2 linked regions of the Tamandua tetradactyla genome follow. The protein of the gene in region 1 binds, or shares a complex with, the protein of each later gene. Links are inferred from orthologs where the notes say so. Each region holds a gene or a part of one and is shown on either strand. Other genes may lie near its edges. The genes, in order: BRME1 and HSF2BP.

Region 1 (12,665 bases):
CCCCAAGAGCTGCACCCCCAAAAAAGCTCTGCCGAATGTTTCTTACACAAACACATCCTCACCTTGCAGCTTGCTGGAAAGGGCACACTATAGCAGCTTCGTTTATTTGGCTTCTTAAGCTTTATAAACACTAGCTCTCTTTGTTGCGCCAATGGACATTTGTACCAGATAAAAAGAAAAAAATATCAACAGACGTGAAGAGCCTCCCATTTCCTTCCTGTGACCCATCCCCTCAGGACCAGTTTAAGAGAAAGTGGTTTTCAAGACAGAACCCTGGGTTCAACACCAAAGGCCAAGGACAGTGGGCAGGAAATGACCTCTTTCACCATCTGCCAGAATCTTCTTTCTTCTTCTTCATCCCTTCCAGGAACACACAAGAACAGATGTTGTGGGCCAGCACAGGCGTCCACTGAGCTGGGGAGTCTGCTGCCAAGGGAGGCCCCAAATAACCTGCCTGGGTGGCCTGCTGTCCCCAGCTTCCCCTCCAGGGTCAGAGAAATCCTTGAACCTCTAAGCAGGCTGTTGTTCATCTGTTTGCACAAACCGTTTTCAATATGTTGATAATTTTTTTTTCTATATTATATCTTGAGAAAAACAAGCTCTCCTCCTAAATTTGTTTCTAAGTGCAGGAGTCATTTCTAAATTTTTGAGAAGTTTAAATTACTTTAAAAAATGACAGGGAAATAGAATCCATGTAATGTTAGGTGTTTGTTGTTGTTTTTGCCTAATGAAGAAATTCTCTCTATATATATATATATTTATTTATGAATTAATTTATATAGATATATAGATAGATATAGATATATTTTTAATGTATAATATAACATATATATAAAGCAAGCAAGAAAAAAGCAATAGTTTTCAAAGCACTCTTCAATAAGCAGTTACAGGACAGATCCCAGAGTTTGCCATGGGCTACCATTCCATCATCTCAGATATTTTTCCTTCTAGCTGCTCCAGAATCACATATATTTTATCTATATACATACACACACAAAGAAAGACAGTCACACTGCGCTGTGTTAAGCGAAGAACTGAAGTTGTAGACCAGTTTGCATGATGATTCTACTGTGCATTTACAACCACTGTAAACTTGTACAAATACACAGAAAAAGCCTGGAGAAGTATTATACTGAGATTAATCTCCTTTTTTTTTCTCTTTAAAAAAAATTCTTATTGTAGTAAGATACATACAACTCAAAATTTCCCATTTTAACCACTTTCAAGTGTACAAGTCAGCAATACTAATTACATTCACAAAATTGTATTACCTTCACCAATATCCATTACCCAAACTTTTTCATCACCTTTGTGTGTGTGTCTGTTCTACTGCAACTGCACTAGATATTATGATTAGGGAAAGTTGGGGGAAGGTAGACAGAACTCTCTGAACTATTTTTGTAATTTTTCTGTAAGTCTAAAATTATTTTAAGATAAGTTTTTTAAATATCTGAATTGGAACCCTAGTACACAGTAGGTGGGAATGTAAAACGGTGTGGCTCCTATGGAAAACAATCTGGCAGGTCCTCAAAAAGTTAAACACAGAATGACGAGATGACCTGGGAATCCCCCTCCTACGTATATACCCCAAAGGATTGAAACCAGGTACTCAGACAGATATTTGTACACAGAAGTTCATAGCAGCATTATTCATGATAGTCAAAAGGTAGAAATAACCCAAGTGGCCACTGAAAAATTAACAACATGTGTTATATTTGTATAACAGATTATTATTCAACCATAAAAAGGAATGAAGCTCTGACACATGCTACAATACAAATGCACCTTGAAGATATCATGTTGGGTGAAATAAGCCAGACACAAAAGGACAAAGAATGTACAACTCCACTTCTCTGACAGACCTAGAATACATAAATTCATAGAGACAGGAAGGAAATCAGAAGTTACCAGGGCGTGGGTGGGGGGAGGGGAAATGGGGAGTTTTTGCTCAATGGGTGCAGAGATTCTGTTTTGGATGACGAAAAACTTTGGGACACATATAGGTGTGATGGTTGTGCAACACTGTGATGTAATTAATTAACATTATTGAATTGTACACTTAAAAATGGTTTCTAACAATGGGGACAACTAAAGCAACAGGCCGAGTCCCCAGTCTTGGGGTTTGTTCATATGAAATTTAACCCCACAAAAGATAGGCTAAGCCTACTTAAAATTAGCCCTAAGAGTCAACCCCAAGAAAACCTCTTTTGTTGCTCAGATGTGGCCTCTCTCTCTTCAGCCAACACAACAAGCAAACTCACCACCGTCCCCCTGTCTACATGGGACATGACTCCCAGGGGTGTGGACCTTTCTGCCAACGTGGGGCAGAAATCCTAGCATAAGCTGGGGCTCAGCATCAAGGGATTGAGAAAACCTTCTCGACCAAAAGGGGGAAGAGTGAAACGAGACAAAATAAAGTGTCAATGGCTGAGAGATTCCACAGGTTATCCTGGAGGTTATTCTTACACATTAAACAGATATCACCTTGTTAGTCAAGATGTAATGGAGAGGCTGGAGGGAACTGCCTGAAAATGCAGAGGTGTGTTCCAGTAGCCATGTGTCTTAAAATGATTGTATAATGATATAGCTTTCACAATGTGACTGTTGTGATTGTGAAAACCTTGTGTCTGATGCTCCTTTTATCTACTTTATCAACAGACAAGTAAAACAAATGGAATAAAAATAAATAATAGGAGGAACAAATGTTAAAATAAATTTAGATTGAAATGCTAGTGATCAGTGAAAGGGAGGGGTAAGGGGTATAGTATGGATGAATTTTTTTCTGTTGTCTTTTTATTTCTTTTTCTGAATTGATGCAAATGTTCTAAGAAATGATCATGATGATGAATATGCAACTATGTGATAATATTGTGAATTATTAACTACATATGTAGAACAGAATGATCATATATTAAGAATGTTTGTAAAAAAAAGAATGTTTGTATTTGTTACATATTTTTTAAAAATTTAAAAAGAAAAAAACTGAAGAAAAAAATGGCTTCTAAAATGGCAAATTTTACATTATATCTATTTTGTGACAGTAAGAAAAAAGTCAGGCAAGACATATTAATAGCACATATTTAGGTACTACCTGTGGTCTGTTCTCAGTGCTTTAAAATACGCACTCATTTAATCTGCACAACAGCTCTATGGCAGGGTTTCTGAGCCTCAGCACTCTTGGCATCTGCAGCCGGATCATTCTTTGGGGTAGGGGCCATCCTGTGCTATAGTTATAGGCTGTTGGCAGCATCCCTGGCCTTGACGCCAGCAGCACCTTCCCCCCACCAGCAGCGATGACCAAAAATATCTCCAGACATTGCTGACTGTCCTCTGGGGGGACAAAACTGCCCTGGCCGAGAATCACTGCTGCCACTGATTGCTATGGCCAAGGGACAGGGGATATGCGGTTTCTTAAAGCAAACAGTTTCTGCTCTGGCTTGTGGTAGATGTGGGGACAACTGGTTTGGCAGAAGCATAAATGCTGCGGAAGCAACTAGTAAAGTCTCACTATACTCACCTTTGGCTAAATCCTTGGAGATGAGATTTTCTTCTGCTATAAACAGAAAGGGTAGGTGCGCTTACTATACCTGATTTATAGGAAAGGAAATGTTATGCCTATTTTGCCACAGTATTTTTCCCCAAGGCACAGAGGAACTCATTCTCCATCACAAAGTGAGTGAGCCAGGTTTATGAAACCAGTGTGTGTGGTTCCCGAGTGAAGCAACTGGCCACAAAATGGACTGGCTTGCATTTTAGCCCATCAAGCTCTAATTTGGGGGACATCTCTGGCACTAGGTTCCAAGACTGCTGTACCCCTCCCCCAAAGCCTACAGACTCCAAAAAGCTGTCACATTTCATTTTACATACTCCTTCAAAATCTGTATCTTTTTCCTATTAGCATGTATTAAGTCATTTTTCTTTTAAGGAACCTGGAGTGGTCCCATTTGCATTTCTGCATATCCCCCCTATATGCAGAAGCAGCAAAAAAGCAGTGTCAACCTGGACAAATACCTGAGGTTCGAAGCTTCTTCCTTTTACTCATCTCAGCTTTCCCTTGAGAAACCTGAAGACAACAAGCAAAGACCTTCCATTATAACAATCTGAGTCAGTGGTTCCAAGAGCAGATACCAGCCCCACCCCACTGGGCTGTCCAGCTGCCCCAAGGGGTTCATGGGACCCAATAGGATACAAGGTGGGGGTCACAGTCTTTGTCCATGGCACAAGATCTGCCACCTTAGCCAAACGCCAGGTAAAAACCTCCACGTTGCAGTGGGACTGCCCACCTTATGTCCACTGACCCAGGTGAGTCTGGGCAGCATGTGGGCATAGGTGGTCCTCTGTGGGAAACCCTCCTCTAGTTCCCCGGGCTGCAACAGCCTGTGCCGAGCCCTGAGTTCCTGCTGGGGTACCTAGAGCCATTCCAGGAGCCACCGGGGGTCCCTTTACTTGAACACCTGGGACTTTTAAGGGGGCTCTTAGATGTCTTTAGGGAAGGCTTGGGCCCTTGGAGGAGCAGCAGTGACCCACGGACCCATTTCTTTCAGCCTCGAGTCCCGGTTAGCCAAAACCCACCTAGGCCAGAGAAATTGTGGAGGTCCCTCTGAACTTGGCAGCAACTAGCGCTTCCTGGATCTGTTAGGGTAAAATCAGTCAAATTATGTGCATTAAATTATTTTGAGAAAAAAAGACAAAACTAATGCTTGTAAGGAGTTGAAGGAATGGAGGTCGAGGACTGACGGGACGGGAGGCCTGAGGCCTGGCGCTGTGGAACCCCGTTTTTCGGCCACTAGACCCGCATTAACCCTACACCGGACCCTGAAACATGAGGACTCCTCAGGCCCGGCCACCCAGGTGGGACCGGCGCCCGCAGGTGGCGAAGGGAAGCCGACAACCGCGCAGCCGCCACCGCCTCTCACACCTGCACACGCTCCGCCTCTTTCCCGCGCAGCGCCAAGGCAGGCAATGCGCATGCGCGACACAGCCCCCACCCTCACGTTCCGCCTCTTTCCCCGCGCCACCCACGATTTCACCCGCCTTCCCGCTCTGCGCATGCGCTCCTGCGCGCTGTCTGTCGGGAGTTGTAGTTCGGGCGGCGGACCTGGCGAGTTTAGTGGCCGCGCTCCCTTGCGGTGACGGCTTCCCAAGGGCCGAGGCGGAAGTGGGGCGGTCACCCCGGGGGGCGAGAGCGAGGGCGCGGGGCGCTGAGAGAGGGGACCCGCGTCTCCCGTGAAGAGCGCGTGCGCGGGAACAGGCCCCGGCGCGTGGGGGGGGCGGTGAGGAGGCAGGGCAAGGCCGGGAGCCGGCGCCGGTGGTCTGGGGATCCAGCCTAGACGATGCACAAGAGGAAGGGACCCCCAGGACCTCCGGGCCGAGGCGCCGCCGCCGCCCGCCAGGTGAGTTAGTGCCCCCTCGGTCCCGCCCGATGCACCTTCCCTACCCCTATCACACGCTTGGGGGGGGCCCCACCCACCAGGGGCGCTGATCCCCGCCCTCCAGGTGAGACCCGGTCCCCGGCCCCCCCGCCCCCACCAGGGGAGGCCGCTCACCCCTGGCCTTTCACAGTGCGGCCTCCAGGGCCCGGCCCCCCCAGCTCCTGCCGTCTCGTTCCGGGCTCGGGGCCACCTGTTGCCGCAGCAGCTCTAGGTCGCTAAGGCCAGGCCCAGAGTTCCCCATCTGCACAGTCATAAAATCTCACCAGTCCTGATCTCTGACCAGGTGACAAAATAGAGATGAAGACACCTGCCCAAGGTCATAGGGATTAACTGCTTGACCAGAAATACAAATGGAAAGCTGCTTTCCTCGAGCTCCCCAGGACTGTGGCTGAACCTCTCCCCTCCCTTAGCTCCTGTACCCCAGACACCCAGCACCCAGGCGTTCAGCTTTTCTCAGCTTTGATGGAGGGAGCCCAGGGCATGGTTCAGTGACCAGGCCTTAGTCTGGTAGGCCTAAAATTTCCCTCCCGCACCTGCACATTGGACACGTGCCTTCACAGCTTTGTGCCTCAGTTACCTCATCTGTAAAAGAGAGATCCTAAGCATCCTAGTAACACCAAGTTTCCTTGAGATAACTTCTGGAAAGTGCTAGAACATAGCACTGAACAGACATTACCGTTGTCACTAATACGTGGTGCTTTTACACCGCTGCTGATTGTCCACCATTTTGACCTACATAGAAGGGGCAGGTTCGTATAGTTCTGATATTATCATGTCACAACTCGTTACTAACCAGGATAGAAAAGCAAGTTTGTTTCCCAGCACAGCCCCTACTTTTGACTTCAATGTTGTCCCGAAGGCTTCTAATTACCATTGATGCCTCAGACCTTCCAACCCCCTGTTCTGAAGATTCTAGAAGGAAAAGCCCCCTGGCATGCAGAGTGGTTCTGCTCTGGGCAGCGGGTAGGGCCTGCTTGTCCCATTGATCTTGGCTTGTAGGGTATCATGGGTCACATGGGGACTGTGGGCTCGTCTTGGCTGCCTCTGGAAAAATGGGGTCCTTCGCAAGAACTGACAGGCCCCTCGCTGTTCCCACAGCTGGGCCTGCTGGTCGACTTCTCCCCAGAGGGCTTGATGATTCCCGAAGATGAAGTTAATGATAAGGAATTGGAGGCCGAGTTTTTGGCCTTGGTGGGGGGCCAGCCTCCAGGCCTGGAGAAGCTCAAGGGCAAAGGTGAGTGCTTGCATTTTCCACACTAACACACGCATGCACACCCCCTGAGTGTTTTCTGAGCTCCTGCTGTGTGTTGGACTTGGAGCCCGGTACCGGGGAGATGGGGGGAAGGAAGACCAGAGAAGACCCCTGCCCTCCTAGAGCCGGTGGTCTGGGTAAGAGGTTAATGTGACAACACAGGACCCAGACTCAGGGTTCACCTTCCAGCTCTACCGCTTACTGGCTGTGTGACCTGACGAGTCACGACACCAGTGTGGGCCTCGGTTTTGCTGTATGTAAAATGGGGACGGTAACCACATTTCACAATGCTTAGCTCCCAAGTGTTGGGAAAGCATTTCATGCAGGGCCTGGCAAGACCTCCAAGTCGGGGCCAGATTCCCAGGTAGGGACCCACAATCGGGATGGTTAGGAGGGGTCATGGCCAAGGCCGGGGGCCGGGAATTCTGGGGATGCTGCTGCCATTACTTGGGGTTAGAGCCCAGAGGACACACAGAGCCTTTAAACTCTTTCGCTAATAGAAAATGCTGACAATATTACCACTCACCGTTCTAAGAGCTTATTTGCCTTTAGTTCCCAAAAGATACCTGGGAGAGAAGGATGGTTACGACCCCATCTAATGAATGGGGAAACGGAGGCCCAGACAAGTGAAACCACTTGCGCAAGCTCACACAGCCCGGATGCTGCCGAGCAGGTTTTGCACTCGGGTCACCTGGCCCCCAAACTGAGGTTTTATGAGTAAGAGATGAAGCCCAAGAGGTTGGCAGTGCAGGGAGCGGATCCTGGGTCCAGCCTCAGCCTCCCCCTACCACCAGGGCCACTGCCCATGGAAACCATTGAGAAAATGGCCGGCCTGTGCATGCAAGACCTGGATGAGGAGGAAGAAGAGACAGATGAGGACGATGTGGAAGCTGATGATGAGCTGCTGGTGAGGGGCCAGGGCAAGCTGAGGCGGGTAGGGGCTCCTTTTCCCTGTGCCCCCCACACCAGCGCATCTGCTTCCCTGACCGTGTGTCCCTCCAGGCGGAACTCACTGAGGTTCTTGGAGAAGAACAGAAGGTTCTGGAGTCCCAGCCACCTTTGGCTCAGGTACCTGTCCGTTGACCCTGCTCCCTTGAACCAGAGTCCTACAGATAGCCTGAGGTTCAGGGCTCACCCTTGTCCCCCCACCCTGGCCATGGGACCTCAGTCCCCTCCACCAGGAAACAGGGTTGTGACTACTCCACTGCTGAGGTAGGGGAAGTGGCACAGGGACCAAAATCCCACATGGGCATTGGGCCCACCACGAGGGCCACATGGAGTGGAGTCCCCATTCCAGCCTGGATCCCCTTCATTCCTGCAGCCAAAGCCCCCAGCTCCCTGCCCAGGGGTGGAAGCCACCCTGCAGGAGAGGCTGGCCCTCTACCAGACTGCGATAGAAAGCGCTAGGCAAGCTGGGGATGGCACAAAGATGCGGCGCTACGACCGGGGACTCAAGGTAAGGAAGTGGGGAGGTGGGTGCCGGGGACCCGACCACCACCCCCGGTGGGCAGCCCAGCTCCAGCTTTTCTGAAACCCCCATGCTCATGCTTCCTTCCAGACTCTTGAAAACCTGCTGGCCTCCGTCCGAAGGGGCAGTACCATCAACGAAGAGGACATCCCACCACCTGTGGCTGTGGGGAAGGGTCCAACGGTCATGCCTGCCCCCACCCCTGCGCCCACCCAGCCAGTCTCGACAAACCCACCAGGCCCAGAGCCTAGGGTGACCATGACGGGACCTCCTTCCACAGTCCCGGCCTCGTTCCCGGGTGCCCCGGCTAAGCCCCAGCTGCTCCCAGGTAGGTCTGGGGGCATGGATGGATTGTGAAATATTTTGAACACCTCCTGGGTCTCCGGGCCCCTGAAGTTGAAGAAGGCTTTCCAAGGGGCTTAGAGGCATGCAGAGAGTTTGTTTGTTTTTTAAAAGTGTTTATTTGGAAATAATTTCAAACTTGCAGGACAATTGGAAAATAATACAAAACCAAAACCAAGAACTCCAACCCACTCTTCACCTAGAGTCTCAGATCCACCAATTTCTAACAGTTTGCCACATCATTTTAGCAAGCTAGCTGTCTGCCTGTCGGTCTGTCTGTCCATCCATCCATATATCCATCGTCTGTCTATTTATCATGATCCCTGAACACATAATATTGCCATGTACAGTTTCTAAGAACAAGGATATTCACTTATGGAACCCCTTTAATGCAGTTGTCAAATTCAAGAAATTTAACGTTGATGTAAAGTTTACTGTCTATACACCAATTGTATCACATATCCCAATAACATCTTTCGCACAGAGTTTTAAATGAAGAATTCCTAAGCCCTCAGCTTCTCTGTCTTCTACCCTGAAGCTCAGCTCCTGGAGAATACACCTCCTGAAAGGTTTTCTTTCCCAGTCCCCCACCTCCCATTTTAAAGGAATGGAAGGCCTGCCTCCCTTCTGAAATCTTCTCCCAGGTTGGGGACAGAGTTAACTTGGGTGACAAAACTCTCCTCCAGCTGGGCTGGCTTCAGAGCTGTTGTTTTTGGCAAAGTTCAAGGTGGCTTCTCAGAATCCCATCCCCTGAAATTCTCCGCTAAAATCACCGCAGACTTTTCACAGTGGGGTCTGTGGCATATCGTTTGGCTGGAGTTCAAAGAATCACGTGCTGTTACGGTAATGAGACTCTACCCAGTTCCATACACTTGTTGGTATGAGCTGTTTTCTCAGTACATTCAAAAAAGACCAAAGAAAAGTAGGGAAAGAATGAATGGGGAAATGTGGATTAATTGGTAGGAAGAGGACCCCGCCCCAAAATGACAGCAAGAGGTGCTGTTCCAGGAAAATTTTACCATTGCATAAAAATTATTTGGCGAAAAGCCTGATGGATTTGGGTTCTGATCCCATTTACATGCTGGTAATAATTGTAACAATAATTCAACCAAGGAGAAAAAACAATTTTTTTTTAACTTTCTTGTGGTGACATATGCATCACATAAAATTTGCCATTTTAAATATTTCTGAGTATGCACTTCAGTGGTGCTAACTACACTCGCGATGTTGTGCTATCATCACCGTCATGTTATCAAAACTTTTTCATCCCCCCCAAACAGAAAATTTTACCCATTAAGCAACAACCTCCCCTTCCCCTTTGCCCCCCACCACCAGCCCTTGGTAACCTCTAATCTACTCTCCGTCTCAATGAATTTGTTTATTCTATGTATTTCGTGTACGTGGACTCAGAATATTTGTCCTTTTGTGTCTAGCTCCTCTCACCTAGGATAATGCTTTCGAGGTTCACCCATCTTATAGTGTGGATTAGAACTTCATTCCTTTTTATGGCTGAATAATATTCTGCAGTGTGGATGGACCATATTTGCTTTTTCCATTCATCTGTCAATAGACACACAAGTTGTTTCCACCTTTTGGTGATTGTGGATTAGCATCTACAAGTATCTGTGTGAATTTTTTTTTTTTTTTTTTAGCACTGAGAGACTTACAGTCACAGACAGTGCCACCAGTGAAGTGTCAAGGTTTTCTTCAACTGCTAAATGCCTTTTCAGGAGAAGCATGTCTAAATTTAAATCACGGGGCCCAGTTGTTAATCTGAAAAAGTATAATGTTTACCTTGTTTTCCTGGCGTTTGCAGGTTTTGTGGACACGCATTGGTATAATTATTGCACTTTTTTTATATATCCACAATTGTACCGTTTGGCTTTGATTGTAGGGAAATTTCCCCCCAAAAAACATATTGAGCATATTATTTGAAAACATAACTAACATACTGTTTAAAAATCAGTTAATCTATGTTTCCCAACTTTGTAGCCACACTGCATAAATGTATTTTCGCTACACAAATGTATGAGAGGGTGGACAAAAAAAGACTCAAGAATATAAATATATTGCATTAGGACATGGATGGAAATAAGAGTTCAAGGAGAAAAAGCTGTGAAATTCCCTGCTAAATATGAGCCCATGGATATAGTTTAAAAACGAATGTTTGTGAATTTCAAATCTCCATAAGTGTTAAGGCCCATTAGATTTTTAAGAGTGCGGGAACAGTTTTATTTCCCGAATGTCAACATATGTGAGACTTTTGCTGCACTTTATATTTAAAAGATAAAAAATTTCAGACATTAACATAACAACGCATAAGGCTACATAAAGTTTTCCAGAATTCTCTTGGGGAATAGGAATGGTTCTGGAGCGTGCTGGGCCTGAAGTTCAGTCCCAGCCCTTCCACTTCCAGGCTGTGTGACCTTGGGAAATAGCATCCCCTCTCTGAGCCTCAGTTGTCTCACCTATAAAATGGGACTAAGAACGGTCCTTGTTGTAAGGATAAAATATCAGTGGTTTGTACAGAGAAGTCGGCCCAGCCCTGGCAGCCCCCCATGCATTGCGCCCCATCTAGGTACCGGCAGCCCCAGTACCCTGGCCCAGTTGCAGAGCCGGCAGCGCGAGTACAAGCTGGCCGCCCTCCATGCCAAGCAGCAGGGGGACACTGCCACTGCCACCAGGCACTTCCGGGTGGCCAAGGTGCGCTCAGACTGACAGGGTTGGAGGGAGAGGATGGGGATGGAGGGTCCTGATAATCCTTGCAAACAGAGGCAGGCCCAAGTTTGAACCCCAGCTGGGTCACTTCCCAGCTCTGGTTTTGCTATTCCCCTTGGGAATTCAGTTTATCCCCTCTGTGAAATGGGCGTAAGCAATGATGGTATAAAGGAAGGGACTCTTCTTTCGAATGGCAGGATGTGGGGGGGTTCCCCAAGCAGTCTCCTCCCCTAATCGTCTCCTTTCTTCTCCCAGAGCTTAGATGCCATTTTGGAGGCCTTGAGCAGGGGGGATCCTGTGGACCTGTCCCGTGTGCCACCCCCTCCTGGTGAGGGTCCCCCAACCTCCACCCATCCTCCAGGAAGTTCTTCTGGGTGCTGCCATCCCCATGATCAGGCCTGGGGACCCTCCCAGGCCAGCCCAGCCTGGTGTGGAGGGACCCAAGCAAGCCCTCTTTGTCCCCAGACCAGCTGCCCGCAGACCCACCCTCTCCATTGCCTCCCCAGCCTCCAACCCCCACCACAGCGCCCTCTGCACCAGGTGAGCTCCTGGGACCCTCTGCGGGGGTGGGGCTCAGGCTGGGACAAAACTGTCTTCCCGTCCCCTAGACTATTAACCCTTCCCCCTCCGCACCCGGCCTAGAGGTGCCCCCACCCCCACGGAACCTTCTGGAGGCACTGGAGCAGCGAATGGAGAGGTACCATGTGGCTGCTGCGCAGGCCAAGACCAAAGGGGACCAGCGGAAGGCTCGCATGCACGAGCGCATTGTCAAGGTGTGTGGGGGCCCCTGGGTAGGGAAGGTTTGGGGGGTGGCCCCCGAGACCTCGCCCAGCCAGTCTCAATGCCTGCGTCCCCTTGCAGCAATACCAAGACGCCATCCGAGCCCACAAGGCCGGCCGAGCTGTGGACGTGACTGAGCTGCCTGTGCCCCCAGGTAGGCCCTGCCCCTGACCCCTACCCCTCTAGCCTCTGAGCCCTCGCAGGTGCTGTTCCTTCACATCCTGCAGGCGTAGGGAGCTAATTGCTACTGATGCAGGAATTTCACAAGTTTGCTGAAACCGCTGGTAGCGTGAAATGTCATATAGGAGTGTTTACATCGTGGAAATTGGCTGACACTAAAAACTGGGGTTTAAGTCTAGAGAGGCCACCACTGTCCCTTTCTTCTTCTTCGATTCACTCCTTCTCAGCCATCAGGCCTCAGCTTTGGAGACACTTGCTTGGCCTCCCATCCACACCCCAGTGGCTCTGGGGCTTGTCTGTGTTCTCAGCACTGCCTTCGCATCCCCTGAGAGAGTGGTTCTCTCTCTGAATCTTGGTCTCATTGGCCTGGGAGCCCCTCTAGGCCAGGGACCACGCCCAGGTGCCCCACTCAGCCACTGGCACAGGGAATGGATCAGGACATGCTAGTTGGAGTTGGACAAGGCCTGGGGTTGGACCAGGTTATGCAAAAGGC
Region 2 (12,023 bases), on another chromosome or scaffold:
ATACTTGAAAGTGGCTGATATGGGAAATTTTGTGTTGCATATGTGCTATAACAATAAAAGGATTTTTAAAAGTTATTTAAAAAAAAAAAAAAGAGGATGAGAGGAAATCAAGAGGGAGCCTAGCTTTCACTGAGCACCAACAGGCCCTGCTTCACCAACAATATCCCAGGTAAGCCTGAGTACACTAGAGCTATCCCCATTTCATAGGAAAAAGAAAAAAACAAAACAGAAACTGAGGATTACATGGATTAAAAAAAAAGGGAAGAACCAGAATTCAACTCTTCCTTCAAACCCCCACACCCTTCCCACAAAATGACAGTTTGAGCCAGAATCAAAGCTAAATTTGAGTATGAGCCAGAATCAAAGCTAAATTTGAGTATTTCTTTCATTATTTGTTCAAGTGGTTTATCCTGCCATCTGAGAAGGTACTATTTACTGAGAACTCACCATGAGCCAGGTCTTGAGCCAAATGCTTTACAAATACTATCTCATTTTAAACCTTGCCACATCCTAGGAGTTCAGCAATACTGTCCGCATGTTACAGACCAGGAAATGTATTGAGATGTTGTATTTGCAGTTAGTTCATTGAGCTAACACGTGCTACAGGAAACTTGTTGGTAAGCGAAAGGAGGGATTAAAGGGCACCGGGGTGGTTGAAGGACGTTTCTCTGCGAACTTTGTAGTTGGCTTGAGTCTTGAATCACACTTGTTTTTCTGGCCCAAAACAAGGCTTCCTGTGGCCCCTTTCCCCTAATTTTGGCTCTTGTGGGTTTACCACATTGGTGACTCAGATAAAAAAACGAGGAAAACAAACATTTCCCTCTTTTTCCTTCTATTAGACCTAGACTTGACAGCCCTCCCTGGGCCTTTTAGGAGCCTGTCTTTCTAGACCACCCCAGGAGCCATGCTCTGAGAATGGGTATTCCACAGAAAGAATCCACAGCTCACATGTGGCAGCAAGAGACGTTCGGCACGATGAGTTTTCTACACTTCCTCAGCCCTGTGGCCAGTACGCTTCTTGGATTTGACCAGTATCAAAACTGCTTTTGCTTCTTGAGGTTGGTGTGTGCCAGGTCCAGACCAGATTTGAGAAGTTTATTTTAGAGTGTTGATGTCCATCTATTTGGCTGGCCTGGATGGGCTCCAGCTATCAAGTAACTTATAAGATAGCCAGAAAATTTCAGTTGATATAATAAATACCAGGGAGTAACTGGGGCTTGATCTGACTCTAGCACAAATAATTACTTTTGGGAAACTTAGGCAAGATAGGTGATAGAATTTGGAGTAGTACCAATGAGGATATTGCCCAATATTCATTAGGGAATAAATGAACATCAAAGAGAGATGCATGGTTCATTAAAAAAACAAAAGAGAAGATGTTTTAGACTAGGGTGATGGCATGCATGCAAGCTGCAAATGGGAGTGAGGAAAACCTGATTGGGGATTGATAACCTCAGTTTTTGCTTGATCTGTGGAACAAGGATTAGGGTGTGACAGACTGCGGACTGTCAATGTGAGCTGTTTGTAGAGGACAGAATAATTACAGAATAGACATTTTTAAATTCCAGATGAGAAGCAATGGGAAGTTACCATATGGGAATGACATAAAACCAAGAGAGTACAAAGAAAGTATGGTGTCCTCCAGGACCAAATATTTAGCAAAGAGGCCTGCTCTGTGCTACACACATAGGCAAGCACAGGGGCCCCGCCTCAACTCCCCACCTAAAGGGTGCTAAGAAGTGAAGGGTAAACCAGCAATGGAACTGAGAAGGAATGGCCAGGAAGTGCACCAGTGGGAAAGAGGTGACACCATGGAGGGGCAGGTTGGGCAGCCGGCCAAGGTCTCCTCAGCTAACTATGAACAGGTTACCAGAGATTGCTTTGTGGTTCTCACTTTCACAAGCATCACAATTTGACGTGGGAAAGGACTGATCTCCAATAAACTGACTCATCATAACCAACATGAGACCCTCACATATTTTTCAGAATATCAATGTATTGATTTACAGTAAGAAATATAACCAACCGGCAGGCCGATATACTCTGCTCACTGGCCAGCAGTTTCCTTTCCCAAAGACAAACATGGATTGAAGAGGTATGCTCGGATGGTTGATGTGGTAAGCATGGCAACAGCACAAAGGCAGCTGAGAAGCCAAGGACTTGGAGCTGTGGAAACCAGTGAGACAGAGCACATCAGTCAGGGTGCCAGCATGAAGGAGAAATCAAAGAAAAAAAGAAAGATTAAAGTCCCAGATATCAAGGGACTTTAATGAAAAAACTTACTGAGGGAGAGCAGATAAAAGTCCCAAGAAGGGATGGTAAAAACAGCCCCACAACTGAAGGAGCAAGGGGAGAAAACAGTCCTGGAGGCCAGCGAGAGTTGGGACAAGAGAGGAGGTCACTGAGTGGTAGACACAGATGAGGAGGGATGAAACTATGCCAGAGGAGAGCAGCAATGCAGGGAGGGTGTGGGGGAGGAGATGCCCCCACCACTCTCTCCTCTCACTGATAGGTTTCACTGGCTGGCCCTCTGGCAGGCAGTAAGGGAGCCACAGAACACCTCAGTGCAGAGAAGGAGAGAAAGGATCCCAGGACTTCAAAGAGAATATAAACAGGGCATGACTACAGAAACTGTGAACAGTCTCTCTTCTAACTGGATATGACTGCCCCATTGACCAGATAGTTACACAAACCAGAAACTTACGTTCTTGAGTCTGGACCCAAGAACTTTCCTGCGTAACTTCCTGTCTGGACTAGTGCTAGCAACACTACCTCAGCCTCCTGGATGTACCTTTCTAAGGCCTCACAGCGATGGCTGTCAAATACAGTCTGGCCAATTAGCCTTAATCACTGAAGACAGACTTCATGGTAATGCAGCTTAATGAGGCAAGTGCTGAATCCATCCAGAGGACCTCCAGGCATCTGAACCAGCCCCTGCACTGGTGTCTGATACAATGGCTCAGCTCAGATCTCCAAAGTCTGATGAATAAGTCCCACCAAACCTGAAATGAAAGCAGTGCTAGAAACAAACCCATCTGTCAACCTAAAGAACCTAGGGAAGTGAACACACATTCAGCCACCTCTGCAGACACATTCAGCTCCAGGCAAGCTTTCCACCATGACAAGATCCTTCACTAACCCAAACGTGGACTTAATCTTCAGAGCAGACCTCTTTAATAATCAAAAGTATAAAATTCTCCCACCATGGAAGAGAATGAGAAGCTAGTAAGAGATACTCCAGAGAGCTGGCCACCCTCACACCAACTCACCCATGTCCAAGTAATTCATTCGAGGCCACCTGCCCTTTTTATGTCTTATCTGAATCCCCAATTTAATTATATAACCTATAACAGTATCTCAAAAATTATGTATCATTACTTTCTAACGAGGGACGCTGTATCTGCTGAAACATTGTTGGAGTCAATGGTGATCGTTAAAGATAGAAAAGACTCACTTTTTTCTACAATCTTTAATTTCTGGAAGCTTTCCAGTACCTCCCCATTTAGTATTCTGGGTAAGAAGTCCCGTATTTGCATCACTTCAGTTGTTAGACGTTCCAGGTCCTTCTTCCTGACTTTAACGAATTCTTCTTTAGTTTCCACGTGCTAAAAGAACAAGCAGATCTTATGATCATACCATTTCTCTTCAAATGACTAAAACTAGTGGCCCACTTCAGCTTACTTCCTTCTCTTTAATACCTCTGGTGCTACTGTTCCAGAAATTTATCTTTATAATATGCCTTCTGCTATATTACATGCTGAAGGTAGAAGCCCTGATCTTCAAAGTGAGAACCAGATATGAGAGAGGGGTAGGACAAGAGTCCTACTCCTAAAAGCCAAAGAAAATGCCAGTAACTTTCTAGTAACATTTTGGCACTAGGTTAATCAAGAGAAAATGGGAAATACTTCTGCTGGATTCCTACTAGACCTGTCAAGCCCTCTGCTGGACACCGTATTTAATACTCAGTGAAACCCTTCAGGACTTTCCAGAGCAGAACACCGAGGCATGGAAGGCCAGGTGACTCCCCAGCGTGGGACACTGGGGACCCGAGGGGTCAAAGCCAGCATTTACAGAGCCCCGACATCCAAACTCCAAGCACGTCCTCCTACATCACAGGAGGAAGCACTCTGTCATGTTTCAACCAGCGTCCAAGTCCTGGTCCGATGGAAACTGGGTTTTCAGACGCTGCGAGGGCCATTCACCTCACCCTCTCTGCCTCTCGCGCTCCCTCCAACTCCCCACACCCGCCCCACCGCAGCAGCGGCAGACATCACCTCGACCTCACGGCAGCCACACCACGTTCCCGCCCGCACCCGCCCGGCCCCCGCTGTCCGTGGAGAAGGCCCGAGGCCTCCCCGACCACGGAGCGGCTCCCGAGCGCCGTAGAGGTCCCCGGCCTCGTCACTGACCCGGCAGGCCTCCTCCGAGCCGCTCGCCTCGCCCATGGCCGCGCCGACCTCCCCGCAGTGCGCCTGCGCGGCGCCGTCTGCCGCCTTCCGCGGAAAACGCGGGAACGCGGCCGCGGCCGATGCTCGGTACGGACAGCCGTGAGGTTCAAATGTCGTGGCTTCTGCGCCGCATTTGAGAGGAGTGAGAGGAGTGAGCTTCTCCGGCTTAGCCCGGGCTATGAAGTTGCTAACTGCAGAGTAAAAGGAAAGTGAGACTTTGGTGTAAATATCAAGTCACCTAAAGTGAGCCGGTCCTTTCCTGCAGAGTGCGGAAGGCTATCAAGGGGCAACTGCCTGCCCGCAGCCTGCTTCCCGGGAAACCTCACCGCAGCAAACTGCGCACCTCCCGCTCTACTCCAACCCTTTCCTATTAAAGGTTTCACCTTTAGGACCCTTCGGGAGGGCTGCACACCATAGGAAGTTCTGCAGCCAGCTAAGTAAATGAAATAACAAAGATGAAAACCGTCAAATTGGACAAATAGCCTCGTCCGTTGACCTGCCCCAGTGCGCACCCTGGACTCGCAAAATTTGAGCTGGCCTGTGGTTTTGAAAGGTTCCCGGGGTTAGGACCATTCCCCTTTCTCCCCTCGCTTAGGCTAGCCAGAAGGCATTGTTCACAGTCCCGTTTAACTGTGGACGTTTTCCCAGGCTGGCTGGAGCAGGAATCAAGTCGAGACGTTTGCACAAAACCCGAAATTCCTGCCTTTGCGAGCAGGGAGAACAGGCGTGCGGGCACTGCTCGGGCCGGGTAGCCGCGGTACTGCTGGACGACAGACCGGCCTGCCCGCCCTCAGGGTCCTCCAAGGGCTGCCCCGGACGGGCTTGGTGCCGACACCCCCAGTGCGGGCCGCCGTGCCCCCCCTCACCTCTCCCTAGTGTCGCGCGCGGAGGCCCTACACTTAGGAGCTCGGCTGCACGGTGCCCCGTAGGTCGTGTGCTGAGCGTGTGGGGGGTTGGCTAAGTGGACCTAAGGAGTCCAGAAACTGAAAACTGACATCCGTCTCTTCCTGACGAAGACGCAGCCTTGGCTACCGCGCCGCCAACGGTCCTGAATTTTGGCGACCGAAAGGCGGCGAAGGCGCGAAGATGCGACGGCGCGGCGCACCCAGGAGGGGCGGTTCGCGCCGGAGGCCCTGACCAAAGCAGCGCGGGCTTCGGAACGCCCCCTACGAGGCCGCCGGCGCCTTTGTGACGCTATCAGCCCGCTGACGCTGACGCCGCCTCCTGCGCAGGCGCGGCGCGGGCCCGGCTTGGCGGCGACCGCGGCGTGAGGCTGAGCGACCGCGGGCTGGACTGCCCGGGATGCTCCGGCTGGCGCCATGGTCCCTGCGATGCAGCCCGCCGAGATCCAGTTCGCGCAGCGGCTGGCGTCCAACGAGAAGTGGATCCGGGAGCGGGCGGTGAAGAAGCTGCGCCAGTACATCAGCGTGAAGACGCAGAGGAAGACAGGTGGGCCCCCGGCGCTCAGCCACATGGCGGGCCGGAGCCGGCCGCGGCGGCCGGGAGGGCCGGGGACACGCCGAGCCCAGCAGGGAAAGGGGCTTCGAGCAGGGATTCGTGACTTCTTTCGTGGGCGTCCATGTGTCCAATCCATGTAACCGCCTTTTTACTGTATCCAGTCCTATGTTGATGTTACCGCTGAGCAGACAGGCCGGAAGTGGGTCACTGATTTACTGAAAGTCACATTCAGTAAACGGGGAGGCTGAGATGAAACCCGGGTCCGTCTGATTCCCATTCCCACGCCTGCACTTTCAGTCATTACATTCACCCGCTTTTATTTCGGCGTGCTCTTCGTTGATTGATTCATGCCAGCGTTTGGTCAACATGTTTAGGTGCTGGAAATACAAGAGAGGAGACAGACAGAATAGCTCCCCTCAAAGAACTCCTAGGAAAAAAGCTAGAGAAGGTGACAAATACAATAGAGCTTATATAAGTGTAGTGAGGAAAATGAAAATCACTTAACAGCGAGAAAAAAGGAGAGAAGCAACTCTTCTTCATTGGCTGTTTTCGGGGCCTCGCTGGGGTGATGTTCAAGTGAGGTCCAGAGGCAAGAGGAAGACAGCCCTGCAGAAAAGCAGGAGAGAACTTAGCATGCCCTAGACCTGTAAATGAGGAGGCTGGGGTGTCTTGAAATGAAGTTGGAAACACAGGCAGAGGGCAGATCGCATAGGGCTTTGTAGTTTGGATTTTAGCTGTAGTAGAGTGCCAGCGAAGGATTTCATTTACCAGATATAGAACATGTGCCTGTAAACCCTTGAGTGAGCTCAGAGTGTATGAACTTGTTCTTGAGTGAACATATAGGTGTGCACATGGTGCAATATGCTATAGTAAGATAAAGTTTGATTTAATCACTGCTAACGTTAATGCCTTTAACATCTGCTTGAAAGAGTAGCTATTATCTATCTCTTCACCACGTTCTTAGTTTCTTTTATTTTGAAGAGAAACACAGAAGACTACTCAGGAAAAATTGAATCGAATTTTAGTTCTGATAAACAGAAAGGGGAAAGAAGACCAAATTCTTAACTTCAGTTCTCTTAGCTTCTCTTACGGTTTCAGCTATCCTATATACACCTGAGGTTACAAAACCTAAATTTCTAGCCCATACCTTCCCTACTTGCAGCTCAGATAACCCCCACTAGCCTGACATCTCTGCCTGGATTTCCAACAGTCACCTAAGACTCAGAGTGCCCCAAACTGACTCATTTTATTCCCTCCAAAACCTGTTATTTTCTGTTGTTGCAGCTCTCCCTTGTCTGCCTGCGTTATTTTATTTTGGTTGCTAGTTCTCCACCATCGACTCAGACTCCTCACTTTTACTCATCCTCTCCCCCCAGCCTACATTGAATGTCCCTTGGTCCTACTTGTTTCACCTCCTAAATGACCACCCTGACCACAGGCCCACTTTATCTTACCTGGAGTCTTTGCGTACTTATTTATGTCCCTCTGCATCCCCATTGAATCCATCTCCACTAACCAGTTCAGGGTAATCTTTTTATTTATTTATTTATTTATTTTGCATGGGCAGTCACCAGTTTGGCAGGCAAGAACTCTGCCTGCTGAGCCACCATAGCCCACCAGGGTAATCTTAAAACAAATCTGATCCCTGTAGTACCCTCGAAATTCAGGGTCCCTTCTAGCTACACCTTGACCACTTCATGTTCTATCAACAACAATCTATTCTTGGTTCCTCATATGTGACACACCATTTCTCACCTCTTTGCCTTTTTTTAACACAGCAGAAAGCTCACCCCCTTTCTGCATTTGGCACTCAGTTCAGTATCACTTCCTCCAAAAAGCCTTTCCTAACACCCCTACTCCTTTATGATTCTAAAATACCCAGTGTATTGTGTATGGTCTCTGTTGTGGCACTTAGCTACATTGCCTTTTAACTATCTCTCAGCGTGTCATTCTTCCTCCAAAACACCGTGACCTTCCACTGTTTCCTTAGCTGAAAGTCAGATCACACCCAGCTGTACGAGGACCTGGCATGCTGTCCGTATTGCACCCTAGAATGGGTCTGAAATGGACCAGACAAACCCTGTTGCACAAACAGGCCTTTGGTCAGCAAGCCCAGGGTCTGCAAGATGCTAAAATGATGCAGGGTATGAGGCTAGTCGGTTTACCATTGCCCCAGGGTCCTGGCTTAGTACCCATCACAGCTAGAATTACTTGTGGTATACCTCTTGTTCTGCCCCCTAATCTATACTGCAGGGTGTATAGTGGGCCCTCAAAAAAACTCTGCAAAGTGAATATCGTAGGCACAGTGATAACGGGGCAGGAAAAAAAAAGTGCCACAGTTCCCCTCCATCAAAATAGAGACACAAGTTTAAAAATAAATTGACCTGATATTTGAATCTCATAGACAGACTCGCATTTTTTGCATCTTGTCCTAGGCAAGGTAAAGAAAATCTGAAATTTCGCTTATACTAGTACATGTAGCTGTTTATCAGCAGCAAAAATAGATAGCTTTGTGATTTCAGAAAGTAAATTAGGAATCCCTGTACTGCTTAAAGCAACCACACATTGCCCTAGTGCTTTAACTGTTTGTGCTGAGCATTTACAATAAAGGAATAATCATTGTTTAGTGAATAGTTTCCTAGCTGCTAAAATAAATACCATACAATGGGTTGATTTCAACAACAGGGATTTGTTGGCTTATGGCTTTGCGCCTACAAGAAGTCCAAAATCAAAGCACGAGCAAGGCGATGCTTTTTCCCTGAAGACTGGCATTCTGGGACTGGCTGTCAGTGATTCTTGGTCCTTGGCTTTTCATTTACATGGCAGTGCACATGGCAACATCTCCTTTCTGTTCTGGGTCCTGTGGGCTTACAGCTTCTGGCTCCTCCCCATGGCTGCTCTTTCTGTGTCCAATTGCCGTTGCTTGTAAGGACTTTAGGCATGTTGGATTAACACCCTCATTCGGTTTGGTCTCATCTAACTAATAATACCTCCAAAAGTCCTATTTACAAATGGGTTTACACACCTACGGGAACAGCAGTTGAGACCTAAGCATGCCTTTCATGGAGACAGGATTCAATCCCCCACAATTATATCCGTGGTTCTAGTTCATAAAGGCTCATTTGTCCAGGTTTAGTCATTCATGTATTCAGCAAATACTTTGGAGCACCTACTACGCACTGTTAGGCGTACTGTTCTGGCACCAGGTACGCAGCATTGAACAAAGCAAACAAAGCTTCCTGTCCCTACTTTATTGATTCTGCAACACTTTTTTACATGTAACAGCTCTAAAATTTGGATGCATCTTACAGTCTACCCTGTGATGGTTTCTTTTGCATCATTTTTTTCTTTTGTCGACCCATAAAATACAGTGCATCTTATAGGCAGTGATGTCTTGGGTTCAGTGGAGGAGACAATGTGGGAATAAGTGTTTTGTCATACCACTAGGGTTAGGATTATCCCTGACCAATAGTTATAGGAGGAGTCGTGGGTGTTTTGACAGAGGGCCATGTTAGCATGTAGCACTTCACCCCATTTAAAATTGCCCCTGTGCTCGTTTTGTGGTGAGAGTAGCTGTTGGGTTTCTTCATAAAAGCTTATTGGTATTTATTATCTCCACATTAGAATTGAAGCAGTAGCAGCAGTTCTCTGTTTTGCTTTAAATGCTTCAAAAATTGGTACCTTATTTTTACTGACTAAATTCCTGGGGAAAAGCAAATGACTTTTATACATATATTGAAAGCAACTGTTTTTAAAAGGAAAAAAAAAAGCTTCAATAGAATATGGGAAGAGAAACTGAAACAATTATTATATCCACCAATTGAACAGTGCTTTACTCATACACAGTGCTTCTCATGCATGCTCTTAATTTTGACCCTGCCCATATCCATTACGTATGTTGTACTTGCGGAAATTGAGGCCCAGAGGTTAGCTAATTGCTTTCTAAGACTGCACAGCTAGTAAACAGCCTGACCACAGGCTTGTTTCCACTGAGGAAACCTTCAGGGCCAACCCCCTTTCCGGCCCATTGTTTAGGATCTAGTGTCACTTTGCTACTTTTTCAAAATCAGTAATTTTCTGTTACAAAAACCTAGTGGTGGCCCCTTGTGGTAGTTAGGTTCAGATGTCAACTTGGGCAGATGAAGTTGCCTAGTTCTGTTGCTGTGGGCATGGGCTGACGGCATGTGGCTCTGTCGCTGATTACATCTGCAGTTGGCTAGGAGGCATGCCTGCTGCAGTGAATGATGTTTGATTTAACTGGCTGGTGCTTAAATGAGAGACTCAACATAGCACATCCCAAGCAGCTCAGCATACCCCATCTCAGCACTCGCAGCTCAGCCCAGGCCTTTGGAGATGCAGAAAAAGTTGTTGGAACACAGAGGCCTGGAGAGAAGGCCAGCAGAGATCACCCTGTGCCTTTCTTCCCGTGTAAGAAAGAACTTCAGTTGAAAGTTAGCTGCCTTTCCTCTGAAGAACTTACATTTTTAACTAAATAAATCCCCTTTTATTAAAAGCCAGTCCATCTCTGGTATGTTGCATTCTGGCAGCTTTGGTAGATTTGGTACCAGAGAAGTGGGGTTCTGCTGCAGTTTGCAAATACCAGTCACATTGGATCCGTTTTTTTGAATGGAAAAGGGGAAGATTTTGGAGGAACTATGAGGAAAATGATGGAGACATCCTGGAGTGCTTGAAGAGACTGTTGGTGTAAACGGAATCACTGCCAATCTGGACAAAGGGGAACACAAAAGGGACGAATTGGAGTTTGCAGAGTGAGAACCATGGAAGTTCAGATCTGAAGCCAAGAAACCTCAGGCCATGAGAGTGGACCCACCCATGTACATGGAGAGGGTGAGTTTGCCCTGAAAGGCAAGGATGAGTCTCCCACCTCATTGCAGTGGAAGAGTCGTGCACCCTCAGGCCTTGGAGAAAGTGCAGCACGCTCCTTGGGGACTCGGGAGAGCCTAGCTGCCACCATGTGGAGGGGTTGAGTATGTGCCCTTGGAATTGGCAGAGAGCCCAGATGTGGCCCCAGTACTCGTAGAGTGTGGAGCCAAGAAAAAGATGGTCTTCTCAATGTTCCCTGAGGTTGATTCAGAAAGAGGCAGCCCGCTGCATAGGCCCTTGGAAAGGGTGAGCCTGCCACTTTCTAAGCCGAAGGATAAATGACTTTTAGACTTTGAAATTCAGTGGAGTTAGCCTTGCAGGTTTTCAGAACTATTTGGGTCTTGTGACATCTGTGTTCCTTCCAATTTCTCCCTATGGAAATGAAAATGTATCCTGTGACTATCCCTCCTTTGCATATTGGCACCAAAATAACTTGTTTTGAGATTCATAGGTCCACAGCCAGAAGAGAAATTTTGGCACCTTAATATCATTTAAGGTGATGTGTATAGTTGCCAAGTTGACAAGGGGTGAACATGTGGTAGTTAGATTCAGGTATCAACTTGGCCAGGTGAAGGTGCCTAGTCCTATTGCTGTGGACATGAGCCAATGGCATGTGAACCTCATCTGTTGCTCATTACATCTGCAGTTGGCTAGGAGGCGTGTCTGCTGCAGAGAATGACGTTTGACTTATTTGGCTGGTGCTTAAATAAGAGAGCTCAACGTAGCACAGCCCAAGCAGCTCACATACCTCATCTCAGCACTCACAGCTCAGCCCAGGCCTTTGGAGATGCAGAAAGGAATCACCCCGGGGAAACTTGTTGGAACCCAGAGGCCTGAAGAGAAGGCCAGCAGAGATCGCCCTGTGCCTTCCCACATAAGAAAGAACCTCAGCTGAAGTTCAGAGCCTTTCCTCTGATAAACTATACATTTTTAACTAAATAAATCCCCTTTTATTAAAAGCCAGTCCGTCTCTGGTGTGTTGCATTCTGGCAGCTTTGGTAGACTAAAACACCCCTCGCATTATACCTTTGCCTAAAATGGTTCTAGGTTTATCAATTTTCACTTAACATTTGCTTGATATAGTGGTGCACTTAGAGGATCCATCTGCAGATAAATATACACTGTACTATTTTTAAGTGAAAAGTGCCAGGATACAAAATACATAGAATATGATGTCATTTGAGTCACATAACACATACACACCCCCTCAAAATTATGCATTTCAGTATTCAA

The links.
Region 2: the proteins of BRME1 (region 1) and HSF2BP are in contact, whole or in part, in a crystal structure (PDB 7Z8Z), measured with the Mus musculus proteins. The link is inferred for Tamandua tetradactyla from reciprocal best matches to the Homo sapiens genes BRME1 and HSF2BP. Residues at the interface, in NP_083321.2 of Mus musculus: Met541, Gln542, Asp543, Ala544, Thr545, Val548, Arg549, Leu551, Val552, Leu555, Ser556, Asn559, Ile562, Met563, Thr565, His566, Leu569, Lys573; in NP_083178.1 of Mus musculus: Glu23, Phe24, Val25, Lys26, Val27, Arg28, Asp31, Leu32, Arg34, Leu35, Glu38, Val39, Gln41, Ile42, Phe45, Leu46, Arg48, Ile49, Glu53, Leu54.

Annotation. Positions count from the first base shown.
Region 1 is NC_135337.1:88,885,089-88,897,753, reverse strand, and holds the start of BRME1 (break repair meiotic recombinase recruitment factor 1), read right to left. Parts: upstream 4,958-12,665; 5' UTR 4,919-4,957; intron 4,913-4,918; exon of another isoform or gene 4,738-4,912; intron 4,633-4,737; 5' UTR 4,573-4,632; intron 4,064-4,572; 5' UTR 4,043-4,063; coding exon 4,012-4,042; intron 3,554-4,011; coding exon 3,518-3,553; intron 1-3,517. Other genes in the region: CC2D1A (coiled-coil and C2 domain-containing protein 1A), read left to right, coding at 5,334-5,393, 6,531-6,666, 7,479-7,591, 7,687-7,752, 8,006-8,140, 8,243-8,480, 11,073-11,197, 11,468-11,540 and 3 more. UniProt on the Homo sapiens protein: Meiotic recombination factor component of recombination bridges involved in meiotic double-strand break repair.
Region 2 is NC_135336.1:101,250,113-101,262,135, forward strand, and holds the start of HSF2BP (heat shock factor 2-binding protein), read right to left. Parts: upstream 5,601-12,023; 5' UTR 5,444-5,600; exon of another isoform or gene 5,315-5,443; intron 4,640-5,314; 5' UTR 4,446-4,639; coding exon 4,410-4,445; intron 4,065-4,409; exon of another isoform or gene 3,906-4,064; intron 3,606-3,905; coding exon 3,455-3,605; intron 1-3,454. Other genes in the region: RRP1B (ribosomal RNA processing protein 1 homolog B), read left to right, coding at 5,768-5,897. UniProt on the Homo sapiens protein: Meiotic recombination factor component of recombination bridges involved in meiotic double-strand break repair.